Arabidopsis thaliana: one gene and its partners. The protein of the gene in region 1 interacts with the protein of each later gene in a pairwise test. Each region holds a gene or a part of one and is shown on either strand. Other genes may lie near its edges.

Region 1 (6,183 bases):
CTCTGCTCGTCTAGGTTTTTTCAAAGTTTCGAAATTTGCATGAATTTTTTAGTTTTTGTTGTTTACTTTTGATGTATTTCTTCCGTGGTTGAACCATCTATGGTTGATAAGGTGACAATTCGCTAAAAGTGAGTACCTTTTTTCGAATTTTGTTTTTGGGTCCTTTCTTAATTGCATTGTTGTTTCTGTTTGATTTTGGTTCAGTAATAACATTCTGTATCCTAAGGAGGACAAAGAACAGAAGATCCTCCTCTATGCTTGCCGTAATTGTGATCACCAGGTATAGCTTTTGGTCATTTTGTACCTTTTTTTTGTGTGGAAAAAGGGTTTTTAGTGTTCAATGTAGTGCACAAAATTGCGAGTGGGACTTAGTTTCATTGCAATTAAGAGACTTTAATGAAACTGTTTCCTGCTTTTATCTCTCTTTTAATGCTCCTAGTTTCCTTAGTTTTACCAACCTCTCTATTTACTAACTCCTTCAATTAAGGCTTAGCAAGTTCTTATGGTTTATCTTTCTAGTGTTGTGTTTATGAGATCTATATGAATACTTGAAGGGCCTCTTTTAGCTTATTGATTTACACAAACTGAGTAGTTATTTGCAATTTTTTAAGCTGCATTATCAATCTTGTTGTTACAAATTGACAGATTAGATTAGATCATGTAAATGGGTTTGTTGTCCTCATCTCAGAATTTATACTTTTTGTGGCACTGACTTGCAGGAGGTAGCTGATAACAGCTGTGTGTACAGAAACGAGGTTCATCACTCTGTAAGTGAGCGAACTCAGATCTTAACAGACGTGGCTTCTGACCCTACTCTTCCCCGAACCAAGGCTGTGCGTTGCTCTAAGTGTCAGCATAGGGAGGCCGTTTTCTTCCAGGTATAACTCTCTTAAGCTCCATTATTTATTTAACTACTTGGTTATGCTGTATCTTCACTGTTTGCTTCCCCAAAACATTATGCTCAAATTCTGTACACCGCTTGAGGATTTAATGTAGCTATCATTGAATGTGCAGGCTACGGCTAGAGGTGAAGAAGGAATGACACTGTTCTTTGTCTGTTGCAACCCGAATTGTGGTCATCGCTGGAGAGAATAAAGAGCTTTTCGGTTTCAATTGGTGAGTTCTTAAGAGTTTTAGGAGTTGATGTAGTTACCAGTAAGTGTAATATGTGGAATGACGGGAACAACCTTCTGCCCCAGTCAGAGACAAATCCGTATTCATGTAATCTGTTATGAAACCATAATCTCAACTTGTGTTTCACCAAACATAAAGATTGGAACTTGTTTCTCTTTGGCATTTAGAGGAAATGAGAAATTCAAACCCAAACATTAGCTACTGTCCTCCACGGCTCATCTCCCAGAAGGCAACCTCTAGTTCAAGAACTCGTACAAGTACATCTTCAGCTTCACCGAGCACCTCACCGGAGGCATTCTCCAGACAACGTTCGGCAATGTTCTTGACAGACGAACAATACTGTTTAAACCCGTCATTCCCCCAACGATGACAAGCACCGGTAAGCTCCACCGGAGTTTTGTTCCCGTCTTCTAAACAATGAGCAAAGCTCTCTTGATACACTGCTTCAATTGCCCAGAAAGCTGTCATAATCACCGGATACTTCACCTCACTGCTCATCAGATCTTCCAAAAACCTGAATTAACCAGAAACTCCGGTTTATTTGCTGGTTCCTAATTTCATTTTCGAGTGTGAGAAATCTATTCAATCAGCATATATGAAATCAATAACCTGCCATATTCTTGATTAGCTCTTTGAGGCACAACGGTCGAGAAATCAACATCCCATTTCGATCCTTCTCTTTTAAACCATTCTATTTCATCATTCAACGATGCTATACCACCAAGCACCACTTCCATATCGGAACTCTCGCCGGAATCTTTGCAAGCTCTGATCAACACACTCGCTACAAACGGCACAAACCTCCTCACGAACAGATAATCTTGCCCCTACAAGGAAACAACGTCGTTTAAAAGTCATCGAGTGAGATTTCATATTTTGCCTTGTTTTCATCAGTAATTACTAATTACAGTACCAGCCAAGTTCTGAAGGACGAGAGATCAACGGATCCGTCACGGATCGAGACGACAAAAGCATGACGTGTAGCCGCCGTATAGATCGAACGGTGCTTATCAATCCATGTGTCGATCACCCCTCTCTTCTCCATTGAAATTGCTTCTTCTTCCTTTCTCTCAAGACTCAAGACTCAAGACTCTTCTTCTTCACCGATTCACTGTCAACGCTTTGATTTTCTGTTGTCTGTGACGTGCACGTTTCATTGGGCTTTAAATTAATGGGCCAAGGCCTATTAAAGTCTCGCCACGATAGCTTAATGATTCTCCCAAATCGACGGCTGTAAAGAGGCGCTTAAATTTCTCAGATTACGTGACAGTTTCTGAACCGTTGAGATGTTTGGATGACTAAAGTTTATTAATTACGTGGCACTTACTCAGAAGCTCTCTCACGTCACGTATCCGTCGTTAAAGAGTGTGACGTGGAAAATGTTTTGGAATTAATTTTGTGTGTTTGTATTATATCACCGTACTAATTAGCTCATCTCCCGAAGCCATGTGGTAATTCTAATTTTGTGTATTTATTATTTTCTGTTAAGACGAATCGGACAGAGAGAACTCCGGCGGCGGATTGCACTTCCGGCAAGATCTCGTGGGGATAAATAAGATGGCGGATGAGAGGTATAATCGGAAGAATCCGGCGGTGAAGAGGATTTTGCAGGAGGTTAAGGAGATGCAAGCTAATCCGTCTGATGATTTTATGTCTCTTCCTCTTGAGGTAACATCTCCGATTCTAGCTTTTTAGATCGGGAATTTTGATTCGAATCTATATTTGAAATTTCCTTTTTTGAGAAAATCCCCTTGTCTTATGTTGTTGTGTTATGTTGTGTTGTGTTGTAATTGTGTATCTGTTCTGAGTGATGGTGTTTGATTTTAGGCGATCATGATTAGGGAGGATCGATATATCTTCTTGTATACACTGAATTTACTAAGTCTCTCTACTTTCAACACTCGTGCAACAGATAAAGTTTGGATTTTTGTGTTTTTATTGGAATAACTGAGTCAAGTGGGGAAGATTACGAACGATTCCTTGATCCACTCAGCTGTCATACTAGTTCTTCGTTTCTAATTTTTTTAACTGTGAAGACTTTTTCCAACATGTCATGGTCCAAATAGATTGCGCGCGATGTTATAGCTGTTTTTTACAAGTTCTTGTGTGATACCAAATAGTTTACATGATTACTCTTATCTATCTTTTAACTTCAGGAGAATATCTTTGAGTGGCAATTCGCCATCCGAGGTCCTGGTGATACTGAATTCGAGGGCGGGATTTATCATGGGAGAATTCAGTTGCCTGCAGATTATCCATTCAAACCTCCTTCATTCATGTTATTGACCGTAAGGATCTTACTCTTATTTCATATATAAAAACACACAGATGTTGCAAGTTCCATAAGAGAGTATGTATCTAAAGAATCTCTGTACTTTTGTTTCAGCCTAACGGGCGCTTTGAAACTAACACCAAGATTTGCTTGAGCATTTCAAACTACCACCCTGAGCATTGGCAACCTTCATGGAGTGGTAAAGTCATGGATCTCAAGAGACCTTATCTCTTGACTTTTATGTTGTTTCCTAAAAGATTACTCAGACACTTGTAATTTACATGAGGTTGAACTATATCAGCTCTTTTGTATTATGATTGAGCTTTGTTTCTTTTCAGTTCGGACTGCTTTGGTGGCTCTCATTGCATTTATGCCCACAAGTCCCAATGGAGCACTGGGCTCAGTAGATTATCCAAAGGATGAGAGACGTACACTAGCCATTAAATCACGTGAGACACCACCTAAGTATGGCTCTCCTGAACGGCAAAAAATTATTGATGAGGTATAGTTCCCCACTAGAATACCCTTGGGTGTTGAACCACTATGCATAATATCCTGATGAAAATATATGAATTTAGCTAGATGCTTGCTGAACCTGTAGAGTATGTGCCATACCATTGCATTGCATCATTATAAACCATAGGACTAGCTGGTGGTCAAAACGGGATCGCAATATATTATATATTAGGCTTGCATATCTCTAGCGGTTATGATTTAATGTTTGCTCTAAGAGTATCTGCTTTGTTTTAACTGCAATCACAGCTGTTATTATTCTCTCCATACAGTAAAATTTGCTGCTCAAGTCCTAACACACCATTTTACTGATTATTGTCGTTTTTAAAAAGTAGTCAGTTGCACAAATATAAAAAAAAAGACAATAGTAGTGTTAACAATCTCCTTTTGGTCTAAACTCTCGTCCCTTTCTTCATGATTTTTGTTATGACTTTAGTTTCATACCTCTGATTCATCTTCAATTTTGGAAAAAACTTTTAGTAACCATGACCTTTTAACAAGCGCAGATTCATCAGTACATCCTTAGCAAAGCAACCGTGGTTCCAAAACCTCTTCCTCTGGAATGTAGCCAAGCACCTTCCATCGTATCAGAAGCTCACTCCCAAGTTGAGCCACAGGAAGCGATAACTGTAGTAGAAGAGCGGTCCATCGCTACAACAGACACCATAGTTGATGATCAAATCATAGAAGAGACAGCTGAAGCAGTCAATACAGCAGCTAGTGTGGTTCCCGCTGCAGCACCTTTACCAGCGGTTGAAGTTGTGGTCAAAGCTTCTGTAAGTGGTGAGCAAAGGATGGCCAGAAGAGCGGCTCAGAAGCCAGTCGATGACAGACTCTTCACGTGGGCGGCGGTTGGGCTCACAATCGCTATCATGGTTCTTCTTCTGAAGAAGTTCATAAAATCAAATGGTTACAGTACTGGGTTTATGGATGATCAGTCTTGAACTCTGATGAAAGTCAATGCTGCGTTTAAGAAATGGGGTTGTGTTGTTTAATATTTTATAAATATAATTAAAGTGCATAATGGCGTAAATAATTTCTGTGTGACATTGTCTTGCAACTTAGTTGATAGATTGGATTATAGCTTGTGACCAAGTTAACAATATGTATTTTGGAATTGAACACTGACGACCGTTTTATCAATACATTGATGCTTTGTTAATAGAATTGTTGATTACCTCCACTATGTTCATAACTATTTCCCGTTTTGAGTACATGATGTCTAAAATGTATCCAAATTTTTAAATCAATAGATTTCATGGTCAAGTTTAACAATTTGATCATATATGTATGTATATGAACACACATGTAGTGAGTCGTGTGGTTTATATATTTGTGTGTATTTTCATTATAAATTACAGAAACATATTAGTTTTGGGGTATCTTCTGCACACATTAGTTTGGTGTGATCTCATCTTGTACCTTATTTTTTTACTTTTCAGTTTAGAAAAGGTTATCAACTTTGACCTTTGACTGCCATATAACGTTAAAAAGAGAAAAAGTTACCGAAGGTTCAAATTAATAAATGAAGTTGATCGTAATGAAAATAATATTTTTTTAAAAAAGAAGGGATGGTGGCAAAAGAAGCTAAGTTAAAAGTCTATCAGTCCTTATTGCTCAGGGATCCTCAGGTACTAAAACTAGCAAACACTGCTTTTGCGTGTCTTTGAAGTCAGATTTTTAACAGCAATTGTTTCATCTGCCTATTACTATAAAATAAAAAAACACTTTGATTTATGGGAACGTGACTGCTTTTTCCACTATTATAACCTTGACTCGTTTTTAATGAAAAGAAGCATACATATTTGGATACTCACTTTTGCCCATTTATAACACCAGAGAGAGAGATATAGGGATAGGGCGAGAGAGAGTTATACTAAAGAAACTTGAAGGAGAGGAGGTTCTGAGTGAGATAGAAGAAGGAAGAGAGAGAGAGATGGGTAAGAGTAGTAACATAGTTTTTGATCGGATTAAAGAAGAACGGCAGATGTTGAGCTTTTTCAAGATTTTTCAGAGGGCAGATCTATCCTCTGACTGCATGGTAACGTTGTTCTTGATATCTTTGTTTGAAAAGTGGGAATCTTTTTCTTCTTTTTGTTGAATGGGTTTCAAGTCTACGGCTTATTCATCTTTTGGTTCTCTTTGTTTTAAAGATTGCAACTGTTTTTCCTCTGAATCTTTTACGTTCTCTGTCTTTGAAACGTTGAATCTGTTGTTTCCCTGGTGTTTTAAGGGTCTCAGCTTCTCGAGGGTTGAATCTTTAG
Region 2 (5,520 bases), on another chromosome or scaffold:
CCGGCGACTGTTCTTTTGTAGCTAAGCTTAGCTAACTCCAACTTGAGCTCTCTGTCGTTTTTGGATTTTTCTTTTTATATCTGTCTTCTTTTATTTATCCTTTTCTTAATTATAACATGATTAATTTTTGTTTCAAATTACTGTATACAAATTATTTTCAAAAGATGAAAAGATTAATTTTATTGTTGTGAATTAATATATCAAAAATTTATTTGTTCTACTTGAAATCATATACATTCATCGTAAAAATAAACTTTACAATAAATATTTTATTATCTAGAGTAAAACATTTTTGATTCTTAAGCAATATCAAAACAATTCCATCATATTTAAGCAAAAAATAACTAATTATAGTATATGTTTTAAATGATTTATACTGTAATATTTATTATTGTCATTTTTGTTTGTTACATACGTCTTCGAATTATCACATTAAAAGAGAAAATTATTCTAACGATTATATATTTTCCCAAGACTGCACCCAATGTTAAATCTGATATGGAAAATAATTTTCTTACAACTTTCAGATTTATTTTAAATATAAAAGTTAAGCAAAAACTATAATATATATATATTTGAGATTTCTATATGAGATAAAGTTCTAAAATAAATTAAAGTTTACAAAGGCAGAGAAATGAAGATTCATAATTAGGTCAGGTGCTAAGCACAATCCTCCTCTAAGAAAATTTTGGTCGATACATTTTTAGCTGCAGTATTTTATTTCACCATAAGAATTAGTAACATGTTGGAAACAAAACGTACCTGAGATCAAAAGAAGAGCTAGACAGAGAAATGTTAGACCATTTTTTTCTTCGATCAACAATGTCTCTCTATATATACCACATTTTATACTATTCCCTAATATGTAAAACGATATTGCCATTTGTCATGTGATTATTATTAGGGTGGGATTATCTTTGATTATCTTTTTGTTATAAAGTCAATGCGACAGTAATATGAAAGACACAAGGACGCGGATACAAATTATAATCTATAAGAAAAGAAAAAAAATTATTTTTAAAAGGGCTAAAAGAAAACAAGGTTATTCAAATAATATTGACAAATTACACTTCTCGACAAATTTTTCTGTGTTTTTTGGTTTCTCTATTCGCTCAGATTTTGTGAAACGTCTCTTCTGATTTTTTATTTTTTCCTATCGATCGGCCAAAGGTTTTTGAATAGTCACTTTAAGATTCATTTCCAATCGAGGCCAAAGGTTTATCAAGAGTCGATAGAATCTGCGGCATTGACATTCCCCCGGAAACAACAATCTCTGCAGATGAAGAATGAGTATACAGTGTTCAGTATCTTTCCACAAAATAATTTGAATGCTATATAACAAACGATAAATGTATCTAGTATAGACAATTAGATTCTGAAATCTCACCAATTCCTTCCCGGACAGAGAGGTTTGGCCTGATAACGTCATTACTGTTGACAAGTAGTATATCTCCAATGTAAAGGTGGTTCGTGGGAACGTATACACAGCAAAGTTCCTCCTCGGTTGGGTAGTTCTGCAAGAACGAATAGCATTATTACATTGGGTAAAAAGATTACGAAATTATGGTAAACCATATAACTCGAAATTGTTTGTATCCTCAAGGAGACGTTCTGGAAAGAATAACAAAATCCTTGAGCAAAGTATTTTCACTCACCTGGAGAACAACAGTTGATGTAATGAAGCCAAATGCATATTCACCTACACGGGGATGCCTGATGATTGCAACTTCCTTGAAAGCTTGTGTATTTTGATCTGTGATGAGAAATGGATAAGAACAAGATGAGATAGGAGATCAACTTAATGTTGAGAAGCAAAACAAGATTTTTATAAGCAAGCTAGACCAGGCGATATGGCAGTGCTGATTTGCTTGGAGGCGTTGTAGATGTGACGAACAAATGGCATCCGCTTGATAAACCACTCTCCCAAGTTCAGAACCGATGCCCCCAACCACGAAGACATGAACACCCCAACCAAGAAGATGAATGCAATGGAAGTCAAAAAACCGAAACCTACAAAACAATAATCAAACTCATTGTGGGAAACCGATATCAAGTTGTTAATAGGATAAAGAGGGGCCATTCAAATTCTTACCAAATATGTTGATTCCAAGTAGTGCATATATTGGAGAGAAGAATCCATCGACAAAGTGAATAAACCACCATGTTGTATAGAAAGTAACTGCAATAGGAAGTAGGATAACACTGCAAAAAGCAATGGAGACTTAAAACTAATCTGTGGAAGTTTTCATCAAATGCCAAAATTTCAACTCTTCCTTACCAGCCTGTCATGAACTTCTTTGACGCCCAACCCCTAATGAACAAGCTTAAAGTCTGCAGAAAAGAGCTAAAGCATCAGGCCACAATGCTCTATAAGTTATACATGCTTGAAAACATGAATGAGCATAATACAAAGACTCAAGAATCTGAATGATTCCAACCACAACAACTTGGAATGCAAATTCATACTCTACTCAATCACAACTACCAAACTTATCTAAGCAAGTGTTCTTGTGATATACTGAATCTAGGGCAAAACAAGTTCCAAGATTTTGAACTAAGGGGAGACAGAATCGACCAAATCTATGAATAACTATCATCCAATTCTACTGTTAGTTTCGCATGAATCTTGAAATGAGAAAACGAAGAACACGTTTTTAGATCAGGTGACAAAAACTAGACCTCGTGGCCGGATTGATGCGAAGAAGAAGCAGAGGAAGAAGAAGAAGGCTTCGAAGAAGAACCATCGTCTTTGTCGCCGAAATCAGCGACGGGAATCAGAAGCTCTCGATCTCTTTCTCGATTGGCCATAACAATTGTCGTGTAAAGAGAGATAAAACCCTAAACCTAGAAACTCACCGAGAGTTCGAAGATTGTAAATCACAATCTAGAAGCTAGTTGCGAAACAGAAGAACCACCTCGAAGATCCTGAGATTTGATGATGATGATTGTGATGATGATGAATGACAGATAGAGAAGACGATGAAATTGATTTTTGATTCGATTTCCCCAAATGGCAAAAGAAAAGTTCCTTACCTGTACCGATTGACCGTACCAACTACCAAACCAACGAATTGACTTTTACAAAACTTAAACCGAAATTAAAGATAATTAAACCGAGTTATTGAACTAAACCAGATAATAGCTTAGGTTGAATCAGTTTTAAAAAAATTTGCGATACCTAAGGCCCACTAAGTTTTTCACATCGTAAAAAGGCCTAAAATAATAAGCCCACTTTAATCATCTCCTCCCGTTATCAGATTAAAAGATTTGTTTCTCCGAGAGCAAGAAACCTCAGAGAGACGAAGCACAATGGGTCAAGGACCTTCCGGCGGATTGAATCGGCAAGGAGATCGGAAACCAGATGGTGGAGAGAAGAAGGAGAAGAAGTTCGAACCAGCCGCACCACCTGCTCGTGTAGGGAGGAAGCAACGGAAGCAGAAAGGACCTGAAGCGGCGGCGAGATTGCCGACGGTGACTCCTTCTACTAAATGTAAGCTTCGATTGCTGAAATTGGAGCGAATCAAGGACTATTTGCTTATGGAGGAAGAGTTCGTAGCGAATCAGGAGAGATTGAAACCTCAGGAAGAGAAAGCTGAGGAAGATAGATCTAAAGTTGATGATCTTCGTGGTACACCTATGAGTGTTGGCAATCTTGAAGAGCTTATTGATGAGAATCACGCCATTGTTTCTTCTTCGGTTGGTCCTGAGTACTACGTTGGCATTTTGTCTTTCGTTGATAAGGATCAGCTTGAACCTGGCTGCTCTATTTTGATGCATAACAAGGTATTGAGTTTTACAATGCTCTTCCATGGAAACGTTGAACCAATTCTTCTATGTGATATTTTTTATTATTTTTGTGATAGGTACTCTCTGTTGTTGGGATTCTTCAAGATGAAGTGGATCCAATGGTGTCTGTGATGAAAGTGGAGAAGGCTCCTTTGGAGTCATATGCTGACATTGGAGGTTTAGAAGCTCAGATTCAGGAGATTAAGGAAGCTGTTGAGTTACCTTTAACACATCCCGAGCTGTATGAAGATATTGGAATTAAGCCACCAAAAGGTGTGATCTTGTATGGTGAGCCAGGCACTGGGAAGACATTGCTTGCTAAGGTTCGTCTTTTAGCCTATAGTGTATCCATTATATAATAAGCTTTCTAGTTGTTAATTGCTTAATACAGCACATAATGGTACTTCCCAAGTATGATTGGTTTTATGTCAAGTCATGCATGCAAAATTTTCTGTCTTTTATCAATCTTCACTAGAAAGATGAATTAGTCAGGACAGTGGCTTCTTTGGTTTGATCACCTAGAATTGAGATATTAGATCATAGTACTTGTGTAGATAGAGGAAGATTTTCAGAGTCACGTGGATTGATTTAATGTCTTCGTTTTCTTTTTGTCTATGTCGCAAGCATGGATTGTTGCAGTGTGCCTCTTTTTAATGTGTCTCTTATGCTTGTTAAATTCGGAACTGTTGGAGATGAGCAAGTGTTATTTCTTGTTATTCTTTCAGGCAGTGGCAAATTCTACTTCAGCTACTTTCTTGCGTGTTGTCGGTAGTGAACTGATTCAGAAGTATTTAGGAGATGGTCCCAAGCTTGTGAGGGAACTTTTCAGGGTTGCTGATGACCTTTCTCCTTCTATTGTTTTCATAGACGAGATTGATGCTGTTGGCACCAAGCGGTATGCCTAAATACAACATAAACATGATCCATTGATAAACAATGTTCTTGATTTTGCTCAAGAGATGGTATCTAATATGTGATATAAAATGGTGGTTGAAACAGGTATGACGCAAACTCAGGTGGGGAACGTGAAATCCAAAGAACCATGTTGGAACTACTGAACCAGCTTGATGGGTTTGATTCAAGAGGAGATGTTAAGGTTATTCTCGCGACAAACAGGATCGAGAGTCTTGACCCGGCACTTCTTAGACCAGGCCGGATCGACAGGAAAATCGAATTCCCTCTTCCAGATATCAAAACAAGAAGACGTATCTTCCAGGTTCCACAACTGGTGATCCTTAAGTTTTCTTTCTTTTTTTGTGAATTTTCTAGAAAGATCTGATCGGTTTTTAATTGCATGCCATTATTAGATACACACATCAAAGATGACTTTGGCTGAAGATGTGAACTTAGAAGAGTTTGTAATGACAAAAGACGAGTTCTCAGGAGCTGATATAAAGGCAATATGCACAGAAGCTGGTCTGCTTGCTCTTAGAGAGCGTCGGATGAAAGTAAGGATTCTCTGGCTTCTCACCACTTGATTCATCGAACGCAATCTTTGAATAATTTTACTTTAACCTTTGTTTGGTCTTCTATTGGTTTAGGTGACGCATGTGGACTTCAAGAAGGCGAAGGAGAAGGTTATGTTCAAGAAGAAAGAAGGAGTTCCTGAAGGTCTTTACATGTGAATGATGCACAACGACTGGTTTCAATCTCTTTTTTCGAGTTTGCTCTCTTTTTCTCCGTTTTTCTGTTTTCACTCTCTGCTTAGATTTTTTTTTCTGATCATATAAAATC
Region 3 (4,168 bases), 9.0 Mb from region 1:
CCTCCTCCTGCAGCCAGCTCACCAAATCAGCAATTGTTGGAACCGTGTCCCCAAACCTCTCATCGAACAGAGTCTTCCAAACACTCTCACACTCAGGTTTCACACTGATAACATCCTCCACGTCTTTCTTCTTGGGATACTTCCCACATTCCAGCCCAGTTAGGATACTAAATTCTCTTAATCCAAATCTGATTGGATGACCACCGAATACAATCCACATCTCATTCACCTTCTTTGTCACTAACTGACAGCATATTAGTCCAAGGACAAGCTTAGCATTGAAAGATGCCTTGTTTTTGGGTATTTTAAAAAGTTCCCCAAATGGAGAATCGAGAAGAAACTGCATCTCTGGTTTCCCCTTTAGTACATTTGCTATGTTAGAAATGTACTCCGGTTTAGAGTACGCGTTCATCTTTGTCTCGGAAGGGTACCGGTCTATAGCAAAGAGTCTTGGTGGTAACTCTTCAACTGTAAGATCTTCAATCGGAGCAACACTTGGACTACCTGCAATTAAACGTGATATATTGTTAAGCAAACCGAAGTAGTGTACGTACACAGACATTTTCCAGATTATAACTCAAAATCATATTTTTGGCGGAAACAGAGATTTCCAATTCTACTTCTCAATTTTTCATCCTAAAGATATGCTAAATTCCGACTAGTTCTAACCCTTTAATCAAACAAGCTTTACAATTCTGATACACCCAAAGAAAACAAACGGTAAATTAGAGATTCTAACCCAGTTCCTCCGTTGCCTTTGTCGCAGAGCGTTTTCTCTGCGGGGAAACTCTTAATACCCGCTTCTCCTTCCCTGGACCATGCTGCTTCCTCGGGACTTCTTCGTTTGCTTTATTCCCAGCCATAGCTAAAGTTGCTATCTCGCCGGAGGTTCAAATTTCGTCGGAATAAACAGTAACTTTTTCTTGGCTTCGCCGGGAAAAACAGTAACTTTCTCTTCCCCGGATGTGGGAGTTCAGTGACTCAATTCAACTACCCAACAATTCGAAGTTATGTCGAATTTTGAAACAATGGATACTGAATTTCGTTTCGCTTTCTAATTCTCTCTCAAATCTCTCCGTTACTCTCTTCTCTTTTTCTTTTTCTTCGGTTTCTTCGTTTCAGTTTTTTTGTTTTGTCTTTTTCAAAACTGAACCGCATCAACTAAACCGAAACCAACTGCTGTAGGGTTTGGTTTATGCCATCAACTGAACCGATACGAACTGCTGCACGGTTTGGTTTGTGCCATTATTAAGTTTTCCCAAGGTAATTTGGTCCGAAATTGAATGAAAAGACAAACCGTAAAAACCAGTTCTCACTTTGACAAACGGTGAGAGCAAATCTTTTTTCGTCCACTTCTGTAAATTTTTTTTTAATGGTTAGTTTGCTTTTAATATTAAAATATTAAATATATTGGTTTTGAGACACTAAAAAAATAATTATGCAATGAGAATGCTCTAATGGTCTAATCTATGGTTTTCCGTTGATTAATACAAACCTTATTTTTTATTACTTGTGTCAAATTTCACCGTCCTATTTTTGGTGTCTTCAAACATCTTTGTTTTATGTTTACCTTTTTTGTTTTAATTATATTATTAAAGATTGTGTCTTGGTTTGAAGGAAAGAAAAATCTTTAGATGCATATTCTATTGTTTTTAAGCTCTTAATTTTTTATTAGAGTTTCAATTGGCTTAACTACAGTGACAAATAAAAGAATTAATGATCGATTGTGTTTCGACGATGATTTTTTTACCGAAATATATACCCAACGACCAAGGTTGATCTTGGAAATCGTACGATTACTCATCGAACACATGTTGTTTTGCACGCAGTTGTTGACACGTGGGTTTGGATGGAGTCAAGACACAATTTCTTTTGCAGTTAAACAGTAATCTTATAAGCTCATATTGTACCTCAATATTTTTATAATCTTTTTTGGGATTTTTGGTATAGTCTATGTATATGTAAATAAAATATTAAAATATTGCAATTGAGAAAGAAGAAAAATTTAAATATTTTAGATGCTTAAAAAATACAATTGACATAAAAGAGTATTTTATGGACAACATGAAATATATCAAAAATAATAATCCTTTTCAAATTTCTATTCGAGTAGCAATTTAGTTTTAGGTCTTTGAGAAGAAAAGAAAAAAAAAAGCAATTTAGTTTCAGGCATTTATGTAAACAATAATGATAAAATAGTATTACTAATTCAAATATATACGACCGTCATTTTCGTGAGGCTAAAGGTCAAAAATCTATTACAATACTTTTGTGAAGCCCATTATGTCAATATAACCGTTAAACCTCATCATAGCCGTTACATCTTCTCCCCAACGGGCGCTTAGTTTCTTACTTTACCTATATAAAACTTGAAACAAACAAAAAAAACATAATTTCACAAAACATCAATGGCTTCTTTTCACAGAAAGTTATGTTTGTTCCAAAACATTCTCGTATCGTGTCTGAATTTCACTCTCCTCCTCCTCTCCCTCTGTTCTTTCGTACCAATCATTCTTCTTAGAAACCCTCCAACTTCACTCGGTTTAGCCTTCCTCGCAGTCTCACTCGTCTCTCTGATCTCCTCTTTCGGTAGTGCCTCTTCGCACCAATCTCGATCATGTTTCATCGCGCGGATAACGCTTCATGTTTCCTCACTGACGGGTCAGTTTATTGCAGTTTTAATGTTGTTTAGTAGAGAGAAACAGAGTCTTTCTTTGCTGATATCGACTCGAGACCCTAGAGAGGCTAAAGCTTTGGTTAGAGTAGAATGTGGTGTTTTCGTGGCGATGATTCCGTTACAGATAATGGTTCTAGTGCTGGCTTGTTTGTTACATTGTTATTGGGTTAGAGAGTTCGAAGGGTTAGATGTTGAGAGTGAAGATTCTTTTAGAAGAAAATGTAACCGAAGAGTCTCGACCGCTGAAGATGGGACTAGTTCGGATTTAAAGAAAATGGAGTTGGACGAGAAGATGAATGTGAAACATGTTCAGTGGGTTAAAACAGATTTCGAAGGTTAAAGTGTTTTTATGAATCTATAGTTTGTGATTATTGTTCAAACTTCAAAGTTATATTTTATGTCTTAGTTAAGAAAATTATTTATTTGCTGTTACAAAACTTTGTTAGGTTTTCTACAATGTTGTAAGTAATATGTATGGCTACTTGAATTGTCCTAGTAATGGTTGATCTTGTATTTTTTTCTCTCGTACATCCACCATTAGTGGGTAATTTACATACATACACTAGTACAAAGATGCATGTATTTATTTTGCATTCTTTCATAACCATAAGAAAGATGTCTTAATATCATCATACTACGATCCATTAGCTGTTCCTAAGATCTCAGAGATTCAAAGCAAATTATTCGGCTCAACGATCAAACACATCCTAATGTAAAAAGAAGAAGAACCAAAAACAACCTAATCCAAAAGGGAAAAGCACCAAAAACCTAACTAGAAACTCTTTAAGACTGGACTCGGGTTTTGGAAACCTCTACGGTTGTATGTGATACCGTATCTCGTATCAATATCTTGACCTTGGGTGAGGTGGTGGCAAGCTTCAACAGGTTCTTCAATATCTTGAGCTTGGGTGAAGCGGTGGCAAGCTTCAACAGATTCTTCAATATCTTGAGCTTGGGTGAAGCGGTGGCAAGTTCCAATAGATCCTTTGTGAGTTGCACCTTTTGGGGGTCATCCATTGGAGATGACAACTTTCACAACTTCAAGACACTCCATTTCCAGTAAGAAATGGCTAATCTGTTTCAGCACGTGTGCACTTCCTTGATAATGCATGATACTCAATATCTTTACTTGGTTATTTGTGGGAATATGAATCCCCACAAACCGATTTCTTTTAAATATGTAACGATGCAGACCCTGAAACATCAAGAAGAGACACTACTTTAATGTAATGCCAGTCATATTATTAAGTAAGATTTCTTAAGGGTTTGCTTCGTACCGAGAGAACCAGAGTTTTAGGTTTGGAGAACGCTCAGCATAAGTGGCAGAAGCTTCCTAAAACATTTTTTTTAACACGAAAACAATAACTCAAGGAGGTTGTTGACAACAGGTAGTCCACCTTTGCAGCATACTAAAATCACCTGAAATATACACACAAAGAATATTTTTCTTGTTTATAGGCAAAAGATGATGAGAGCATACACTAAAACTGA
Region 4 (5,460 bases), about 16 Mb from region 1:
GGTCAAACTTTCAACAACGAATCCATTCCCATAAAAGATTCGTCTTTCAGCTTCCACTTCCTCTTTGGAATAGTACCTGAGCATACACAGTCCGGTTCACATGGCATGTCTTTCGTTATCTCTCCTACAGCAGGCCTTCCAGGAGCTTCCTCCGATCAGTACCTCGGATTATTCAATGAAACAACCAACGGTAAATCATCAAACCACGTTATAGCTATCGAGTTAGATATACAAAAAGACCAAGAGTTCGGAGATATTGATGATAATCATGTTGCAATGGTTTGACATCTGTTGTTTCTGCTTCTGCTGGTTACTATGATGATAAAGATGGAATCTTCAGAAATCTTTCTTTGATCAGCGGAAAGGTAATGCGGCTTTCTATCGTTTATAGTCATCCTGATCAACAGCTCAATGTTACTTTATTCCCGGCTGAGATCCCTGTTCCGCCACGGAAACCACTGCTGTCTTTGAATCGAGATCTCTCCCCGTATTTTTTGGAGGAGATGTATTATGGCTACACGGCATCGACTGGATCCATTGGAGCATTTCATTATATGTTGAGTTCGTACGCTACTCCAAAAGTTGAGAATCCAACATGGGAGTTCATCGTAGTCCCAACCCTTCCTCCATATCCGAAGAAATCGTCTGACAGAACAAAGAAGATTTTAGCGGTCTGCTTAACGCTTGCTGTGTTCGCTGTGTTTGTCGCCTCGGGAATCTGTTTTGTCTTCTATACGAGGCATAAGAAGGTTAAGGAGGTTCTTGAGGAATGGGAGATTCAATATGGACCTCATAGGTTTGCCTATAAGGAGCTTCTCAATGCCACAAAGGATTTCAAGGAGAAACAACTTCTTGGAAAAGGAGGCTTTGGTCAAGTCTTTAAAGGAACGCTCCCGGGTTCCAATGCAGAGATCGCTGTAAAACGGACTTCTCATGATTCAAGACAAGGCATGAGCGAGTTTCTAGCCGAGATATCGACCATTGGTCGTCTCAGGCATCCAAATCTAGTCAGGCTTCTGGGATATTGTAGGCATAAGGAGAATCTCTACTTGGTTTATGACTTTACGCCCAATGGAAGCCTTGACAAGTATCTAGACCGTAATGAGAATCAAGAACGGCTCACTTGGGAACAACGTTTCAAGATCATCAAAGATGTTGCATCTGCTCTACTACACCTGCATCAAGAATGGGTACAAATCATCATTCATAGAGATATCAAACCAGCTAATGTCCTAATCGACCACGAAATGAATGCAAGGATCGGGGATTTCGGATTGGCAAAGCTGTATGATCAGGGACTTGACCCTCAGACATCTAGAGTAGCGGGAACATTTGGTTATATCGCACCTGAGCTCCTAAGAACAGGAAGAGCGACCACAAGCACTGATGTTTATGCCTTTGGGTTGGTAATGCTTGAAGTTGTTTGTGGTAGAAGAATGATTGAGCGACGTGCACCGGAAAATGAAGAAGTTCTTGTGGATTGGATCTTAGAGCTTTGGGAAAGTGGGAAACTTTTCGATGCAGCTGAGGAAAGTATCCGTCAAGAACAAAACAGGGGAGAAATCGAGCTTCTTTTGAAGCTAGGTCTGTTGTGTGCACATCACACTGAACTGATTAGACCGAACATGAGTGCGGTTATGCAGATCTTGAATGGCGTTTCGCAGCTTCCAGATAATCTTCTTGATGTCGTAAGAGCTGAGAACTTGAGAGGAATGCCTGAAACATCAATCGAAGTACTACTTGGTCTTAATCTGTATTCAGTTGGTACAATGACATTAACAAATTCTTTCTTGTCCCATGGACGCTGAAACCGTTAAAGAAGTTAGTTTGAATGAACAGTTACATTCAAGCTTTTGTATCGTCTATTTGATGAATCACTACATTAGGGTTTCTTTATCTTGAATCAGTAAAGCCTTCCGTTTCATCCCCAAGTTCTTATATCTTAAATTTTTAGGACTCAACATATAATATGTTTTGTATTTTCTGCTTTCAAAGTTTTCTTGTTGGATTTGTTTAAGAAACCGAACTTTCAAGAGCAATGGCGTCAAAACAAAATGGCGTGAATTGCCAAATCAGTGACATATAACCAAAAACATTCTAAACTACTTTGATGTTGTTACACTACATAGGATTAATCTCAATATATAATGATCAAACCATGACAAATTAGTGACATATAACTTCACTTTTGCCTTCAGACCAGTAGAGAATTTGTTAGAATCTACACTAAATTAAAAATGTTAAACATACGTTGTTTTTTCTACAAAATGGTTGTGGAAAAATAGCTTTGTTGGATTGCTGCTTTTTAATTATGCTTTTCACACTGTTGTTATTAGTAATTTAATACTTCAAAGTATTAAGATCGTAGAAAAGTTCTGTCTTTTGACGACACGCTCTACCAGTCCCACTATAATTGCTTTACGACTTGATCTAGCTCATGTGCTTAAATACATATGTTTTTTTATTACTAACGAAGAATAACAAAAATAAAAAGAAAAAAAGAACGTTGGGTTCCCATTATTTTCGACCGTAATTCTTATGAGATGATAAATATTACATTAAGATCATAACCTTCCCATAAGCCAAAAAATAACAAACAAGAACATGTCTCATAAAGTCTTACAAATAGTTCTCGTTCTGTTGCTTACTCTGTTTTCATCTACTCACAACTCCAATGGCAACTTCCTCATGGAAGAAGCTGCAGCTGCAGGTTTAAACGGTTATTGCCTTTTAACAAACACCACGAAGCATTCCTACGGTCAAGCTTTCAACAACACTCCCGTTCCCATCAAGAACTCATCTTTCTCATTCAACATCATCTTCGGGATCGTCCCTGAACATAAGCAGCAAGGTTCACACGGTATGGCTTTCGTTTTCTCTCCTACAAGAGGCCTTCCCGGAGCTTCCCCCGATCAATACCTGGGAATCTTTAACGAGACAAACAACGGTAAAGCCTCGAATAACGTTATAGCTATCGAGTTAGATATACGAAAAGACGAAGAGTTTGGAGATATTGATGATAATCATGTTGGGATTAACATTAATGGTTTGACATCTGTTGCCTCTGCTTCTGCTGGTTACTATGATGATGAAGATGGAAACTTCAAAAAGCTTTCTTTGATCAGCACAAAGGTAATGAGGCTTTCCATCGTTTATAGTCACACCGATAAACAGCTCAATGTTACTTTATTACCTGCTGAAATCTCTGTTCCGCCACAAAAATCGCTCTTGTCTTTGAACCGAGATCTCTCGCCCTATTTTTTGGAGGAGACGTACTTGGGTTTCACGGCATCGACCGGGTCGATCGGAGCACTCTATTATGTGATGCAATTTTCCTATGAAGAAGGAGTTATATATCCAGCATGGGACCTTGGCGTAATCCCAACCCTTCCTCCATATCCAAAGAAGTCGTATGATAGAACACGGAGGATTTTAGCGGTCTGCTTAACGTTGGCCGTGTTCACTGCATTAGTCGCTTCCGGAATAGGTTTTGTCTTTTATGTGAGGCATAAGAAGGTTAAGGAGGTTCTTGAAGAATGGGAGATTCAGAATGGACCTCATAGGTTTTCTTATAAGGAGCTTTTCAATGCCACAAAGGGTTTCAAAGAGAAACAACTTCTTGGGAAAGGAGGCTTTGGTCAAGTCTACAAAGGAATGCTTCCGGGTTCCGATGCAGAGATCGCTGTAAAACGGACTTCTCATGATTCAAGACAAGGGATGAGCGAATTTCTAGCCGAGATATCGACCATTGGTCGTCTCAGACATCCAAATCTAGTCAGGCTTTTGGGATATTGTAAGCATAAAGAGAATCTCTACTTAGTTTATGACTTTATGCCTAATGGAAGCCTTGACAGGTGTCTAACCCGTAGCAACACGAATGAAAATCAAGAACGGCTTACTTGGGAACAACGTTTCAAGATCATCAAAGACGTTGCAACTGCTCTACTACACCTGCATCAAGAATGGGTACAAGTCATCGTTCATCGAGATATAAAACCGGCTAATGTTCTACTCGACCACGGCATGAATGCGAGGCTCGGGGATTTCGGATTGGCGAAGCTGTATGATCAGGGATTTGATCCTCAGACATCTAGAGTAGCGGGAACATTAGGTTATATTGCACCTGAGCTCTTAAGAACAGGAAGAGCAACCACAAGCACAGATGTTTACGCCTTTGGGTTGGTTATGCTTGAAGTCGTTTGTGGTAGAAGATTGATTGAGAGACGTGCAGCAGAAAATGAAGCGGTTCTTGTTGATTGGATTTTAGAGCTTTGGGAAAGTGGGAAACTTTTCGATGCAGCTGAGGAAAGTATTCGTCAAGAACAAAACAGAGGAGAAATTGAGCTTGTTTTGAAGCTAGGTCTGTTGTGTGCACATCACACTGAATTGATTAGACCGAACATGAGTGCGGTTTTGCAGATCTTGAATGGCGTTTCGCATCTTCCCAATAATCTTCTTGATGTTGTTAGGGCTGAGAGATTGAGAGGAATTCCTGAGACATCAATGGAAGTACTACTTGGTCTTGATCTGAATTCTTTTGGTACAATGACGTTGACGAATTCTTTTGTGTCCCATGGACGCTGAAACCATAAAAATAAGTTAGTTTTGATCAAACATTTATATTCCATCGGGAGCTTCTGTATCCGTCTATTTGATAAATGAGTACATGTTTCTGTATCTTTGAATCATGAATGCCTTCCAATTCATCCCTAAATTTCTAGGGTTTACTTTTAGGGTTATAATATGTTTGTTTCATTCTTGCTTTCAAAGTAATCTTGTTCGAATTTGTTTATAAAACCAAATTTTCAAGAGCAATGACTTATAACTTAATTAACTTTTTTTTTTCTGTAGACCAATACAAAATCTGTTAAACTTTACATTAAAACATGTCAAAAAACTTATTTTTTTTACATTTTATGGTCAACACGTTGGTTGTTAAACTTACATTGTTTATCCATTTCTACGCTCCGTAATGTTCGACGGATTAGGTTGTAGAAAAGATAAGAGAAGCTTTTTTGACCTTTTTATTTCTTTGGTAGAGATCTGAGAAGAAAAGTTTTTTTGATTATTGCTTATTATGCTTTCCACTATAATCGCTATTTAATCTTAGCAAGAATTAGAAGATTTGTTTTCTTATAATTGATTTACGACTTTATCTTGGCCATGCACAGTGCGTAATTACTAAATAGTGTACATGTGTTTTTTCTCTCTTAAGTTTGCTTACTTATCTTAGTTCGTTGGCCGCATATAACATGAATATTCATTAGATAAATAATTAACAGCAATAGGTAAACAGCAACAATAACAATAGTTTAAGTCCTAAGACTAATCAACACATTAATGGAACGATAAGAAGAGATTCAAGAGAATAATTAACAATAATGTTTTGTAAAAAGAAGAAAAAAAATACAAAAAGCAAATAGGATGTCATAATCTCATAACCAATATAGCAAAATTTCA

What was found.
Region 2: the proteins of UBC32 (region 1) and LCV1 interact in a protein complementation assay, tested with the Arabidopsis thaliana proteins (one large-scale study listed by BioGRID).
Region 3: the proteins of UBC32 (region 1) and AT3G42725 interact in a protein complementation assay, tested with the Arabidopsis thaliana proteins (one large-scale study listed by BioGRID).
Region 4: the proteins of UBC32 (region 1) and AT3G59740 interact in a protein complementation assay, tested with the Arabidopsis thaliana proteins (one large-scale study listed by BioGRID).

The regions. Positions count from the first base shown.
Region 1 is NC_003074.8:5,794,605-5,800,787, forward strand, and holds UBC32 (ubiquitin-conjugating enzyme 32), read left to right. Parts: upstream 1-2,325; 5' UTR 2,326-2,691; coding exon 2,692-2,802; intron 2,803-3,290; coding exon 3,291-3,422; intron 3,423-3,520; coding exon 3,521-3,605; intron 3,606-3,744; coding exon 3,745-3,908; intron 3,909-4,425; coding exon 4,426-4,863; 3' UTR 4,864-5,143; downstream 5,144-6,183. Other genes in the region: NRPB9A (RNA polymerases M/15 Kd subunit), read left to right, coding at 205-280, 720-878, 1,015-1,095; AT3G16990 (heme oxygenase-like, multi-helical), read right to left, coding at 1,333-1,648, 1,744-1,961, 2,048-2,179; REM22 (AP2/B3-like transcriptional factor family protein), read left to right, coding at 5,856-5,960. UniProt on the Arabidopsis thaliana protein: Accepts the ubiquitin from the E1 complex and catalyzes its covalent attachment to other proteins.
Region 2 is NC_003071.7:8,689,427-8,694,946, forward strand, and holds LCV1 (uncharacterized protein), read right to left. Parts: upstream 3,065-5,520; 5' UTR 2,809-3,064; coding exon 2,680-2,808; intron 2,332-2,679; coding exon 2,279-2,331; intron 2,203-2,278; coding exon 2,093-2,202; intron 2,011-2,092; coding exon 1,843-2,010; intron 1,754-1,842; coding exon 1,656-1,753; intron 1,515-1,655; coding exon 1,388-1,514; intron 1,274-1,387; coding exon 1,188-1,273; 3' UTR 867-1,187; downstream 1-866. Other genes in the region: RPT2b (AAA-type ATPase family protein), read left to right, coding at 3,310-3,783, 3,864-4,109, 4,512-4,681, 4,786-5,002, 5,094-5,234, 5,328-5,411.
Region 3 is NC_003074.8:14,841,931-14,846,098, reverse strand, and holds AT3G42725 (Putative membrane lipoprotein), read left to right. Parts: upstream 1-2,380; 5' UTR 2,381-2,408; coding exon 2,409-3,017; 3' UTR 3,018-3,250; downstream 3,251-4,168.
Region 4 is NC_003074.8:22,066,203-22,071,662, reverse strand, and holds AT3G59740 (Concanavalin A-like lectin protein kinase family protein), read left to right. Parts: upstream 1-2,604; coding exon 2,605-4,584; 3' UTR 4,585-4,676; downstream 4,677-5,460. Other genes in the region: AT3G59750 (Concanavalin A-like lectin protein kinase family protein), read left to right, coding at 1-279, 366-1,808.